Rattus norvegicus: one gene and its partners. The protein of the gene in region 2 interacts with the protein of the main gene of each other region in a pairwise test. Links are inferred from orthologs where the notes say so. Each region holds a gene or a part of one and is shown on either strand. Other genes may lie near its edges.

Region 1 (4,315 bases), on a different chromosome or scaffold from region 2:
GTAAGTTCCAGGACAGCCAGGACTACACAGAGAAACCCTGATTCAAAAAACAAAAATAAAATACAACAACGAGGATCGGGGTTGCAGATATAAACAATTTAGACAGTGTCTCAGGAGTACTCACAAGCACTCTGTAGATAAGATTCTCATATGTGAAAGTTTCCATATAATAACAGCACAAAATGCCAAGCCACCCAGGTAACAGTCACCTAGGCCTTAACTTTACATCTAGACCTTAATATTTTACCTAAGTCTTAACACATCTCAACCAAAATTTACTTATTTCGAAGAAGAAATTTACTCCTTATAATCAAAGATTAAACTTAGTAGCACTGATAGTGAAGAATGTATGGTTCCCAGGAAGCATCTTGAAGAAAATGTTGAAGATAAAAATTACTCAAAGGCTGGTGTTCTAGGTCAGTGCTGAAGCTATGTCTAGTGAGGCAGGTAGGAGGGGACAATGATAGTCTCCTGGAAACCAAACATCTTAAATTATTGCCAACAGCCCAGCTGCCAATCTGTCTACAAAAAATTACGATAAACTAAACTGTACACGTTGGCTTAAGTGCCTTAGCCCTTTCAAAAGTTACAACGTCCCACTATTTATTAATGGGACCGTATGTGAAGTTTTTTGGTTTTGCCTGTGTTTGTGTTTGGAGACAGGTTTCTTCAGTGTTGCCCTGGCTGTCCTGGAACTTGACTTGCTTGCCTGAGCGTCTCATCTAAAGTGCTGGGATTAAAGCCATCTCCTGGCTGAGCTTTTTTTTTTTAATAATATAATTTCCCTGATGAATGTGGCACTAGTTATTAATAATCACCCGGAAAGAAGCAAGTATCAGACTCGCTTGAGATAAACCAATTTTTTTTTTTTTTTTTTTGGTCTTCTCTCCAAAAGCAAGTGTGCAGAGGGCCATAGCTCATGGTAGGCCAAACTCACAGCTTTGGATCAGACTACTAATTTCTGATTTAGCCGTTTGTGCTACGGAGGGTAGCCACTTATTTGAAAGCTTCGTTTGTTTTTTTTTTTTTTTTTTTTGTCATAAATGAGCACAGGGAGTTCCGATCTGAACGCTGTTAAGCAGTTACAAAGGCCTTTTTCCCCACACGCCGGGATATGCTCCTCTCACTCAGTGCCCTAATTCCGACAGCTAAGGACGTAGGAAAAGGAAGTTCTTCGGTAAAGACCAGGGCTGCTCCGCCACGTGGCCCTCCGATGGCCCTTCGGCCCACACATCCCTCCACAGAGCAGGCGAGCTCCCCTAGGGCCTGATTGAGGAAACGCGGGGACGCAGAGCGCGGGCAGCGACGGGCGGAAGCTGCGGGCTGCCAGCACCGGCGGTTCCCGCCCGCCCGGGCGGGGTGAAGGGCGGGGCGAGCACTCGGAAATCCGTCGAGGAGGGCGGGTGGGACCCCGGGAGTGAGACTTCCGGTGGCGCAAAGCGTGTCGGGATCAGCTTGCGGCAAACCTCCTTCCCCGGCCCGTAGAAAGACCACCGTTAGCGCCGCTTCTGCTCCCACAGCCTGCTCTCGGCCAAACGCTCGGTCGCGGCGACTGCCGCTGCGGCTCCCGCTGTTTTCGGCCCTGTCCACTTGGTTCCCAGGCAGCCAGCGTGCGTTCAGCTGCGGCTTCGGCAGACATGTTGTGAGGCGGCGGCGCGGGTGCCTGAAGGATGGTTTGGCCGAGGCGGCTGCAACCGCTGCTAGTGGCGGTGGCCGCGGGGGCTCCGGCTCTGTAGAGCCGACCCTGCTGTGGTGCGTCCGCCCGGTACTGCGGCCGGGCGGGTACTCCTCGGTCTTGCGTGCGCCCCCGAGCCGTTTAGGTTCGGTTAGGCGACAGCGCCAGTCCGTTTGAGGCGACACGCAAGGTGGTTCTTGAGCCCTGGGAGTGGTGTCCCCAGAGCGAGCCCTCAGCCCCCTGACCTCTCCTTCATATCCGCACTAAAATCTCTCACACAGTGGGTGTTCCCTGCCCTCGAGCCCGCTCCTTCCTGGTTTCTGCTGCACTCTGAGCCTCCCGGACCCCGACATCTCTCTCCAGGGACAGCCTGTTGAGAAATCTTCGTGGAGTGGTGGACTAGAGGGAGGACTTTAAAAGTTAGGGCTTGAAAGACAGGAAGGCACGATGGCTTCCTCGTCTGGCAACGACGATGATCTCACTATCCCGAGAGCTGCTATAAATAAGATGATCAAAGAGACTCTCCCTAATGTCAGGGTGGCCAACGATGCCCGAGAGCTCGTAGTGAACTGCTGCACTGAATTCATTCACCTTATATCTTCCGAAGCCAACGAGATTTGTAACAAGTCAGAAAAGAAGACAATCTCACCAGAGCATGTCATCCAAGGTAAGCAATTTGTGTGGGATTTAATTTAAATGAAGGTCCAGGCTAATAGAGTCACTCCTAGTGTCACGGAGCCTTCATTCCACTTCACTAGTAAGTGCAGTTACCTTAAAATACCTATGTAGCATTCTTCGGACATTTTCTTCATCCAGCTAATGCAAGTAAGAAGTACAAACATTAGGGTCAGCAAACATCCACAACATTTAACCAGTACAGTTTCCGATCAGGTCTTTAAGCAACAAGAATTGACTGCCTACAGCTAAACTTGGATAGTAACAACTGAGAAAGGAACCTCAAAGTTCTCTCTTGGGAAGTTAAATTTTAGAATTTCAAGCACGAGTCGAGTCAGAGAGTATATCTCTTCCCCACCTGTGCTGAGGAAAAGATTCATTTTGAACACAGGGGTAGAAAAAGTTCTTTGGCTGTGAACGGAGGTCAGTGGTATATCATCTACCTAGCATGCACAAGGGCCCTAGGTCCGAGTTTAAAAAAAAAAGTTATCAACATGAGTATGTTCATTGTTGTAAAGTTAATTTCTTTCCAAAAAGTATAATTTTTGCTTTACAAAACGCTGAGGTGGTGGAACAGTTATCACCAGGTAACCGAGTGCCACATTTTTTCCTTTTTGACTTCCTCCAACTATTGATTGTTCTTTGAAAATTATTTGTAAAGGGTGGCTGGGGCAGGGCGGGGACGACAGTACTCGGGCTTGAACCTAGGGCCTGACACATGCTAGTCAGCATTCTGTTGCTGAGCTGCCCAGCCTGTCCTCTGTCCTGCTGCTCCAATTTGGATGTGTCTATGCGTTTAAGCTTTTATGGAAAAACGCTTCTAAAGGTTCCCACAGTTTCTTTCTTACGCTGGAAAGGATTTGGAGTTGGGATTTTGTTTTGATGATTACAGGGAAAGGAGACGAAAGTTGCTTTTGGCAAATTTTGGGAAATACTTTCTGTGGCTTTTCATGAACTCTTATGAGAAAGTTGCATTCAGTTTGGTAAATCACTTCTATTATAAATCTATTGAAAATGAGGACAACTTCTTGATTACTTTTAAGGTTAAAAGGAACAAATTTAATCATATTAGGCAGGTAGTTCGTTGCCATTTTATACATTTAAAAATTTTACTTTCCTGTTGATAGAGAACATATCTGATCATATGGAACATAACCATTTTGCAGTCAGTATTGACAAGAAGGTCACGTGTTTAATTTTTGAGCCTTTATCCTGTGCTGATGGTAGATTTAAAGCACACCTTGCTGTGATGAGGGGGGTCTCAAGGCTGAGTACTTAGCATGGCAGAGGTCAATCCCAGTAGGTAGTAAGAGTCGTGATGATTGATAGATGTGTGTGTGTGTATAATCATATCACATGCACATATACTCTGCCATTTCAGCACATAGCAGATAACTAAGAAAAAAGCAATGTTTTTACTTTAGGTTAGGAAAGGCAAGATGCTAACAGGTTCACACTCTTGTTACCTAGCCTGGCCTTAAACTTAGAGCCTCTTCGTGCAGTCTCTTGGTCCTGGGATCATGGACATGTAACTACCATTCCTGCTGCTTATTTGATTCTTTGGTGTGTACATGCTGAATGAACTTGGGGCCTTGTGTGTGCTGGGCAAGCAATGTCCTGCAGAGCTATCTTTCCAGCTGACATACTTGATTCTTAAAACTAGTATTTTTTTTTCCTACTTGTTTGGTTTGCTGAGTGGTAAGAAAAATGGAAACCAAGTGTTTTGGGGTTTTTTGGTCTTTTTTTTTTTTTTTTTAGTTTTTTTTTTAGTTTTTAAGTCTCTTAGAAGATATTTAACAAGTAGCTAACATTTCCTTTGACTTTTTGTGAAGGAATGGAAGAACCACCTTTTGTCAAGCATCAACTTTTTAATGAAACTGCAGATTTCTGTAGGACCTGCCTAAACACTTGTTTGTACCACAGAAGTGGTGATTGTTCCAAAAATCTAATAACACAATCTGTCTT
Region 2 (4,126 bases):
GTACACTGCCAAGGACTAATAAAAGCTATGCCCAAGACCTTCACAGAGTAGCAAGGGACTTGATTGGTTTAATCTGGTACATCAAAAGCAGAGTTGAAGGGCAGACTTTTGGAACAATAAGCAGATCTCGGTTGTGACTGGTGGTGAAAGCCCTGGATTTCCGGCCTAAAAACCAGAGATTTTTAGTTCCAGCTGGGCGTCCTCTTACACAGCTCTTTACAGCTGAGGAATTGCCTGCTGCAGGACTACAGGACATGGAAGAGGAATTGCTGCAAAGTACTTTTTGGGCTTTAATACCAGTCTTGTTTGGTTCTGCATGATGTCTTCTCTGTAAAAAGCAGAAGGTAGAATTGGATGGCATTCAGCATTTTATATTTTTTTAAATTCTTATTCAAGCACAGCATAATGTACTATTTATATTTATTTAATCCCTACAGTGTAAACAGCCTGTATTACAGATGAACAAACTATGGCTCAACCGCACGTAGTCCTTGTTATATAATTAAAAGCTAAGTACTAGAGCCCCGAATATATAGACAACACTGCGGTTATCCCTGGTGCCCTTCAGAACACTAGAATGTTTCCAGAAACAATAGTGAGCCAAGTAAAACTATTAACCTTGCTGAAGATTAGTCCTGCTCCATATTTAACAAAGTAAAAAAACCAGGTGTCTTTCTGTGTAGATCACATTGGAATTCTGAATTCTTTTGCACCATCCTTCCTGCTGGTTACATGGTATTACAGGTATGTGCTCCTACACCTGGTTCAGAGTTTTGATGTCATAGAAGGCATTTTTCCCCTATTACATTTTCAGTAAATTGGAGTAGAGCTTTGTGATAGGGTTCTTTTGAAATGCTGAGGTCTCTGCCACCAACTTCATACATTTACCCTAAATCATTCTATTTTGATTTGTTAGTGTTAATCTGTGCTTTTAAAATTACTACGAATACAAAAGGTACCTTTAGAGATCATGAAGACTGTTGTATGGGCAAAGCTTCACTTTGATATTAAAAGAAGGCTGAGTTTTTTGTTTTTGTTAACTCAACAATATGGTTTTGATATTGGTTTTAATCTGTTAATAATGATCAACAAAAACATGGAAGTGGATGGTTACAACTTTCCGAGCTTGTGCACATTGCTTTTCTGGTTTAGTGCCATAGGTTACTGTAGCAGTATCTTACAGACACTGTTCACGGCCAATCAGAAGCAGTGAAATTACCTTCAGTTTTTTAAATGGAACTCCATAGCCAATAGAAAATCCTTTAGGTCGGAAATGTAGCGACCCTTTCTTTCTTTCTTTTTTTTTTTTTGTTTTTTGTTTTTAAGAACAATTCTAAATTTGCCCTCCCCTGTTTTAGAAGCGCATGAGACCATATGTGTCTGCTCGTGCATTTGCTAAATATTTCCGATCCTTAAGTTCTTGTGTTTGAGTGAAGAATCTGACCCCTGTTCTGCTTCTCAAGGTAACTTTAAAACAGGAAGTGTACAAAGGAGGTAACTGATGACGTGAACAGCCAATCATGGCTTTGTATTCTTAGCTGATAAAGCAGCTTAGCCAATGGGACTGCTTTGGAGGCAAGGTTTGGTGTCAAATAGCAGGCTAGATTGAATGCCTTTGACTGTTAAAGTGGAAGGAGGCTGCAGGGCTTCATTGGAGCCTCAGAGTTTTTCACTGAGGCAGGGGTCAGCTGAAAGACAAAGAAAAATGGCGAATAGTTTGCTGTGGGGTGGGAGGACAGCTGTTCGGGTTTTCACTGGAATGAACATTCCAGACTCAGGTTTCTACATCTTCTGCTGCCTTTTGTCCTCCGGTCTTTTTTTTTTTTTTTTGGGGGGGGGGGATAGGAGTGACTTAAATTCTCCCTGTCCGAGGAGATATAAATAACTCCATGTAAAATTAATGCAGTTCTCGGTAAGTTTAATTCTTTGTTTTGTGTTGAGATGATAAAGACTATTTAGCTTCAGAGAGTGCAGACAAGTTGCACTGTTTCAGAAAATGGCCACTTTACATTCCGTGCATACCTTCTTGTGCACCTAGATTACCTTGCTCTGTTAGATTTTGCATGTCCTTCAACTAAGCTTTTCCTAGTTTAATATCAACAAGACAGATGCAAAAAGGGCTAATTATTTTTCCTGGGCATACAAAAGCAAAGCACTTTGTCTTTGCATTGGGTAAACTTAACTGTTTTCCAAATAATTTTCCTTTGTTCAAGTGCACTGAAGCTTTTCTACGGAATAAGATGAGTTTTAAGAGTTTTTTTTTTTTATTTTCATGCACTTTGTTGACATTAATGTTTCAAAGATAGAAGCACATTATCGTTCTTTCACTTGCTTGAAAATATGATTAACAACTGATGCAGGTTCTAATGGGGGAAGGCCCACATGCCAGCCTGAAAATTCTCTTGTAACTTTCTTGATCTACTTATCTGCCTCTGCATTTTAATAAGAATCAATTGAATAAGTCTAAATTGTAAATTGTTCATTTTGGTTTAATATGCTGATCAGTTTAGAGTCCAGTTAATATTGGAAGTGAGAAGCTTATCATGTTTTTGTCAGCTGTTGATTTGGTTCTTTAAAATGATTTAAGCAAATGCCTTTGTTTCCTGTATGAAGTATATAAGGGGCTTACCTGCAGTTTGTGACTAGAAAAGTTAAGTGTATAGGTAGCCTTTTGCCCTTGATATTTACCCCCTTTAATGATAAGAAGCTTACGTAGATTGCTAATCAGTAACAAGTCAGTTCTTATGAGTAGTCAAATCATCAGTCCTATGTACTAAGATCTGTAATATCCCTGATTTTTTAAAAAGCAATTCTTTGTTTTTCTCTTTATTTGGAAATACTGGATGAAGGTCATTCGAACATTCCTGCTGCAGATCAGTGTAGAGCAGTGAGGCAGTAGCAGTCCCTGGACAGGGAAAGGAGCAGGCCTGGCTGAGGAGAACTTGGAAGGTGTTGGTCTGCCTTCGATTGCTTCCTCTTGAGGGAAGGTTTACCTGAGAGGATCCATTGGGGTTTAAGTTTAGATATGTGCAGCTGGAGTGAGTGGGATAACAAACAGCCCAAGTTCCTGGATGCAGGCCTCCCTCTGCCGCTGCTCTGAAAAGTGACCTTGAGGAGTTGAAAGATTGAAGGACAAAGTTTGTTTATGCAGATTGGAACTGAAAAGCTCTCTTAAGATGAAAGACTGTAGTTCTGGGTGTTCTAGTCCAGTGGTTACTAGGAATCTGTTATAGTTCAGATCAGGAGTTTTTAAAGGAGTAATAGGTCTGCATTCATTCTCTTCTTCCCCTGTCTTTTTTTTCCTAACCCCAGCCTCAGGAAAATTTTTCTAACTCTTTCTGATATGATAATTGAGTGAATTATCTAACAGATTCAGAGTTCCTTGCATGCCATCCTGTCACCCTTGTAATCTAAAGGGTTCTTAGTGGAGAAAATGGTATTTCAGGAGTTCAAATAGTTGTATTTGTGAAGCTCCTCTTGGAGGATTGGAAGGTTGATGGTAAGAAAATATTAATTTGGGGGAATTTTAAGTTCTACCAAGAGGAGTTTGTGTTAAATATTATATTTTAAGTGATGCTTACTTATTTTGTATAGGCTGTTGGTATAAGTGTTTTAAGCTGTAAGTATGATTTAAAAAAAAAAAAGATACAGGTATCAGTGACCTTTTTTGCTCTGAGAGAGGCCTGTAACAGAGGGATAAAAATGAAGTTGGAGAAAAAGGGAGGCTGAGGTAAAGCTCCATATACTCTAGAACTTTGTGGAGCTGGTTGCTTAGAGTATGTAGCCAAGTTTACCATCTTTTTTCAGGCACACCCCTGCAAAAGCCTGAAACAGCTAACATAACATTCCTGCATGCTCAATGTTGAATGGCATTTGTGGACCTCCTCATTTGATACTTTGTTGAAAGACGTACAATCTCCTCTTCATTTAATACATTAGACTTGAAAATATTTTTAGACAAAAGAGGTAAACTTTATATGGTAAAGAGCAAAAAGCCTTATGGAATTAACCATAACTCAAACTGGAAGTGTTAGGAGAGAGAGGTGAGGGGGCAGGGAGGCTTGGATAGAGCCTAACACCTAGACCTTCTGGTGACAGACAGTATTTTGAGGCAGTAGAATATAAA
Region 3 (3,646 bases), on a different chromosome or scaffold from region 2:
GCCACACAGCAGCACTTAACTGTCTGCAGTTCAAGTTCCAGGAGACCCGATATCCTTACACAGACAAAACACCAGTGCACATAAAATTAAAAAAGAAGATAGTAAATAATTAAAAATGGTAACTGTTCTAACTCTGAGCTACTGTTCTGAAGGTCAAGGATGAACCGGACTCTCCCCCTGTGGCACTGGGCATGGTGGACCGATCTCGAATTCTCTTATGTGTCCTCACCTTCCTGGGTCTCTCCTTTAACCCCTTGACTTCATTGCTGCAGTGGGGAGGGGCCCACAACCCTGACCAACACCCGTACTCAGGCTCTGGCCGCAATGTACTGTCACTGGAGTCAGGTAGGTGGGTCCCCCTAATGCTGGCTTGGGTCAGGGGGACTGCTGTGACAAAGGACCCTGTGTAAAAACTACATGATATCCCTGCCTAGTCCAGAAGTAAGAATGGGCTTCCCACCGGCTTGCTGCTGATGGGGGCCAGTCTACGTTATATGTGAGAAGACAACTGAAGTTTGTTGGGACAAGCAAACCAACCTGGAACTTGCTTTGTTACAGTTACTGTGGGCAGAAGTGGGTGGGAGAGATGGGGAGGCACTTGTTGGAGGGGATGTATAGCATCACGTCAGGTAGGAGATCAGTGTCCTAATTTCCTCTTAACTGGGGTATGTGTCCCACTCGGCTCCATGGTACCAGGGTATAAAAGGGTGTAGGCTACAGAAGTGTCTACCATTTCCTCTGAAAATGACACAGAAGGCTCTTTGATGTCACACTCTGGAGTCTGTTAGGTGCCTTGCTGTCCCACAAGGCTCTTCCTGGTAGTCTCAGCTGAGACGCCCCTCTTTAGGTTCTGGAGGCTGGTTTGACTGGATGATGCCGACTCTACTGCTGTGGCTGCTAAACGGTGTGATTGTCTTGAGCGTCTTCGTGAAGCTGTTGGTCCATGGGGAGCCAGTGATCCGCCCACACTCACGCTCCTCGGTCACCTTCTGGAGACACCGGAAGCAGGCAGACCTAGACCTCGCCAAAGTGAGTTCTGTCACCCGCCTTTCTTCTATCATTCACTTTCATCCTCTGTGCTCAGGGAATGTTGTTGAGTCCCCAGTGTGAATCAGTCCTGTGGCCTGTGCTGGGTGACTGAGGTGAGGAGGAGGCCCTGTACCTACAACAGCCCCAGGGCGATGAGGGAGGGCATCCCTGTGCCCAGATCATGCTGTGGACACAAAATGACCTCTGCAGTGGGTCATATAAGTGCTATGAGTCTGGGGCTGTAGGTGGTGCTGTTCTGGTCAAGAAGGATGGGCAGGCGGGCGGGCGGGCAGGCAGGCAGGTCAGGGCCTTTCAAGCAGATGGTGTCATGAGGACTGTATTAGCCACTTGTCTCCTCACTGTGACCAAATACACAGCAGAAGCAACTTAAGAGATATTATTTGAGCTCTTAGTTTCAGTTCCTCTTAGGGAAGGCTGTTGGCCATTCGGTAGGAGCTGGTGGCGTGGAATCTCATGTAGATCTCATGCAGATCAGGAAGCACAAGTAGAGATCACTTGCCAGAGCTGCTCCTATCCGTCCGTTTATGTCAGCCAGGCCTTAGGCCCTAAGCTTCCACAGCCAGCCGAGACAGTACTACATGAGCCTGTGGGGGCATTCACATTCAGACTGCAGACAAGTAGACACACTGAGGATATGTGTGTCTATGTCAAAGGAAGATGGCAGTGACGGCTGGTGGTGTACCTAGTCGCCGTGTGCAGAGAATTTTAACTTACAGCTGAGTTAGGGGTTTGGTTTTGTTTTTTTTTGTTTTTTGTTTTTTGGGGGTTTTTTTTGGTTCTTTTTTTTTTTTTTTTTTTTTTTTTTTTTTTTGGAGCTGGGGACCGAACCCAGGGCCTTGCACTTGCTAGGCAAGCACTCTAACTCTACCACTGAGCTAAATCCCCAACCCCTAGGGTTTTTTGTAAAGGCTTATTTTTATTTGTGTATGCTCATGTCTGTGTGAAGGTATATGCACATGAGTGCAAGTGCCCTTGGTGGCCAGAAGAGGACATCAGATTGCCTAGAGTTGGAGTTCCAGGTGGTTCTGAGCCTCTTGGCATGGATGCTGGGAACCGAACTTTGATTCCTCTGGAAGAGCATCAAGTGCTCTTACCCTCTGAGCTATCTCTTCAGCCCTCTGAATTAAGTTATTTCTAGTTCTCTGGTGAATCAGGGAAGACATTTGAGCAGGAAAATTAGCTGAACATTTTTATTTGGGATCACTGTAAGGAGAGATTATGGGGTAACATTGAAGGGGTTAACCATTATGCACTATTGGAGTCAGTGTGACTCAGACCATCCCTGAGCCATAGCAAACCCAGAGCTTAGTCCTTCTGCAGGCTGACACACCTGAGTTACCCCACACACACCCCAGTCAGTGCCCATAGCCCCAGGGTCCTAAAGCACAGGTGTGATGCCATATAGTAGGTCACAGTATTGTCCTAGTCCTAGAGACAGATTTAAGGGCATTTGAAAACTGTCATTCTGGTGGCCATGTGAATAGGTTAGGGAAAGGAGACACTGAAAGATACAGAAACAAGTTAGGAGGTTCTTAGAATGGGTGGGATAAGAGAGAGGGAGACCTGGAATTTAACAAAAAGGTAGAATCGAATAAATATTTTGAGACACAACTTAATTAACAATGATGTTAACTCAAAGGTGGGAAAGGCTGGAAGAGCTGTAGGGCTCTTTCTAGGCCGTTGCGTCTAGGCCTGGAAACGCTCTGACGCCTTTGGAACAGTGGCCAGGAGGCAACTGCTGGGAGGGCTGCTTAGAGTCAGTGCTAAGGGAAGCTACAGTCTTACTGGGAGAAGAGTTGGACTGGTTGAGGCAAAGAAGCAAAAGCCAGAGACAGCCTGCAAAACACATCTGCCATCTTTGGTCGCCATTGATAACCACGGTCAGCTGGGCACCATCCGCTCCTTAAATTAGACCCTCCGCTCAGCAGAGATCCTGAATGGGGGGAGTTTAGTAATATAGCTGTGAGTTTGCCTTAAAGCTGTGATTCTTGGGCCTCTATAGGCCACTGAATCACAGGCTACAATCCCAGAGCTGTGACTAAGCAGGCCTGAGGTCGGGCACCACGGACTTCCCCCATCCTAAGCACACACGTTACCTAAAGACTAGTGCTTATTTATAAAAGCTGCTGTGACACCCGGGCGATGGCAGCACTCACCTTTAATCCCAGTACTCAGGAGCACTCTGAATTCGAAGCCAGCTGGGCTGCCCAGAGAAACCCTGTCTCGAAAGACAACCAAACAAGCTGCTTTGGAGACTCCCGCACTTGCTCAAAGACAGAACACAGTGCAGGTTAATTTAGTAGAAAGGCCAGGGAGTCTTCAGAATGTCCACAGTGATTGTGTAGGGTGAGGTGGCTGCTTTTTATGTTTTTGTATCGTTCCAGCATGTCTCAAATTTTCTTTAATGGAAATTGTGTTTTACTTTGCTAACAAGCGTGCTTTATTCTGATAAGGAGATGGTCAAGTAGAAGTGTGTTAGAACCAGAAGGCAGCGGTAAGGCCAGTGACCACTACTCCCACTTGCTGCTTCGTAGGGTGACTTTGCAGCTGCTGCTGCCAACCTACAGACCTGCTTATCCGTTTTGGGCCGGGCGCT

The links.
Region 1: the proteins of Nfyc (region 2) and Dr1 interact in binary tests that used the Homo sapiens proteins (3 or more experiments, as listed by UniProt). The link is inferred for Rattus norvegicus from reciprocal best matches to the Homo sapiens genes NFYC and DR1.
Region 3: the proteins of Nfyc (region 2) and Srebf2 interact in binary tests that used the Homo sapiens proteins (3 or more experiments, as listed by UniProt). The link is inferred for Rattus norvegicus from reciprocal best matches to the Homo sapiens genes NFYC and SREBF2.

What each region holds. Positions count from the first base shown.
Region 1 is NC_086032.1:1,611,743-1,616,057, reverse strand, and holds the start of Dr1 (protein Dr1), read left to right. Parts: upstream 1-1,501; 5' UTR 1,502-2,122; coding exon 2,123-2,342; intron 2,343-4,315. UniProt on the Homo sapiens protein: The association of the DR1/DRAP1 heterodimer with TBP results in a functional repression of both activated and basal transcription of class II genes.
Region 2 is NC_086023.1:139,677,034-139,681,159, reverse strand, and holds the start of Nfyc (nuclear transcription factor Y subunit gamma), read left to right. Parts: upstream 1-1,275; 5' UTR 1,276-1,463; exon of another isoform or gene 1,464-1,912; intron 1,913-4,126. UniProt on the Homo sapiens protein: Component of the sequence-specific heterotrimeric transcription factor (NF-Y) which specifically recognizes a 5'-CCAAT-3' box motif found in the promoters of its target genes.
Region 3 is NC_086025.1:115,574,256-115,577,901, forward strand, and holds part of Srebf2 (sterol regulatory element-binding protein 2), read left to right. Parts: intron 1-152; coding exon 153-345; intron 346-847; coding exon 848-1,029; intron 1,030-3,584; coding exon 3,585-3,646.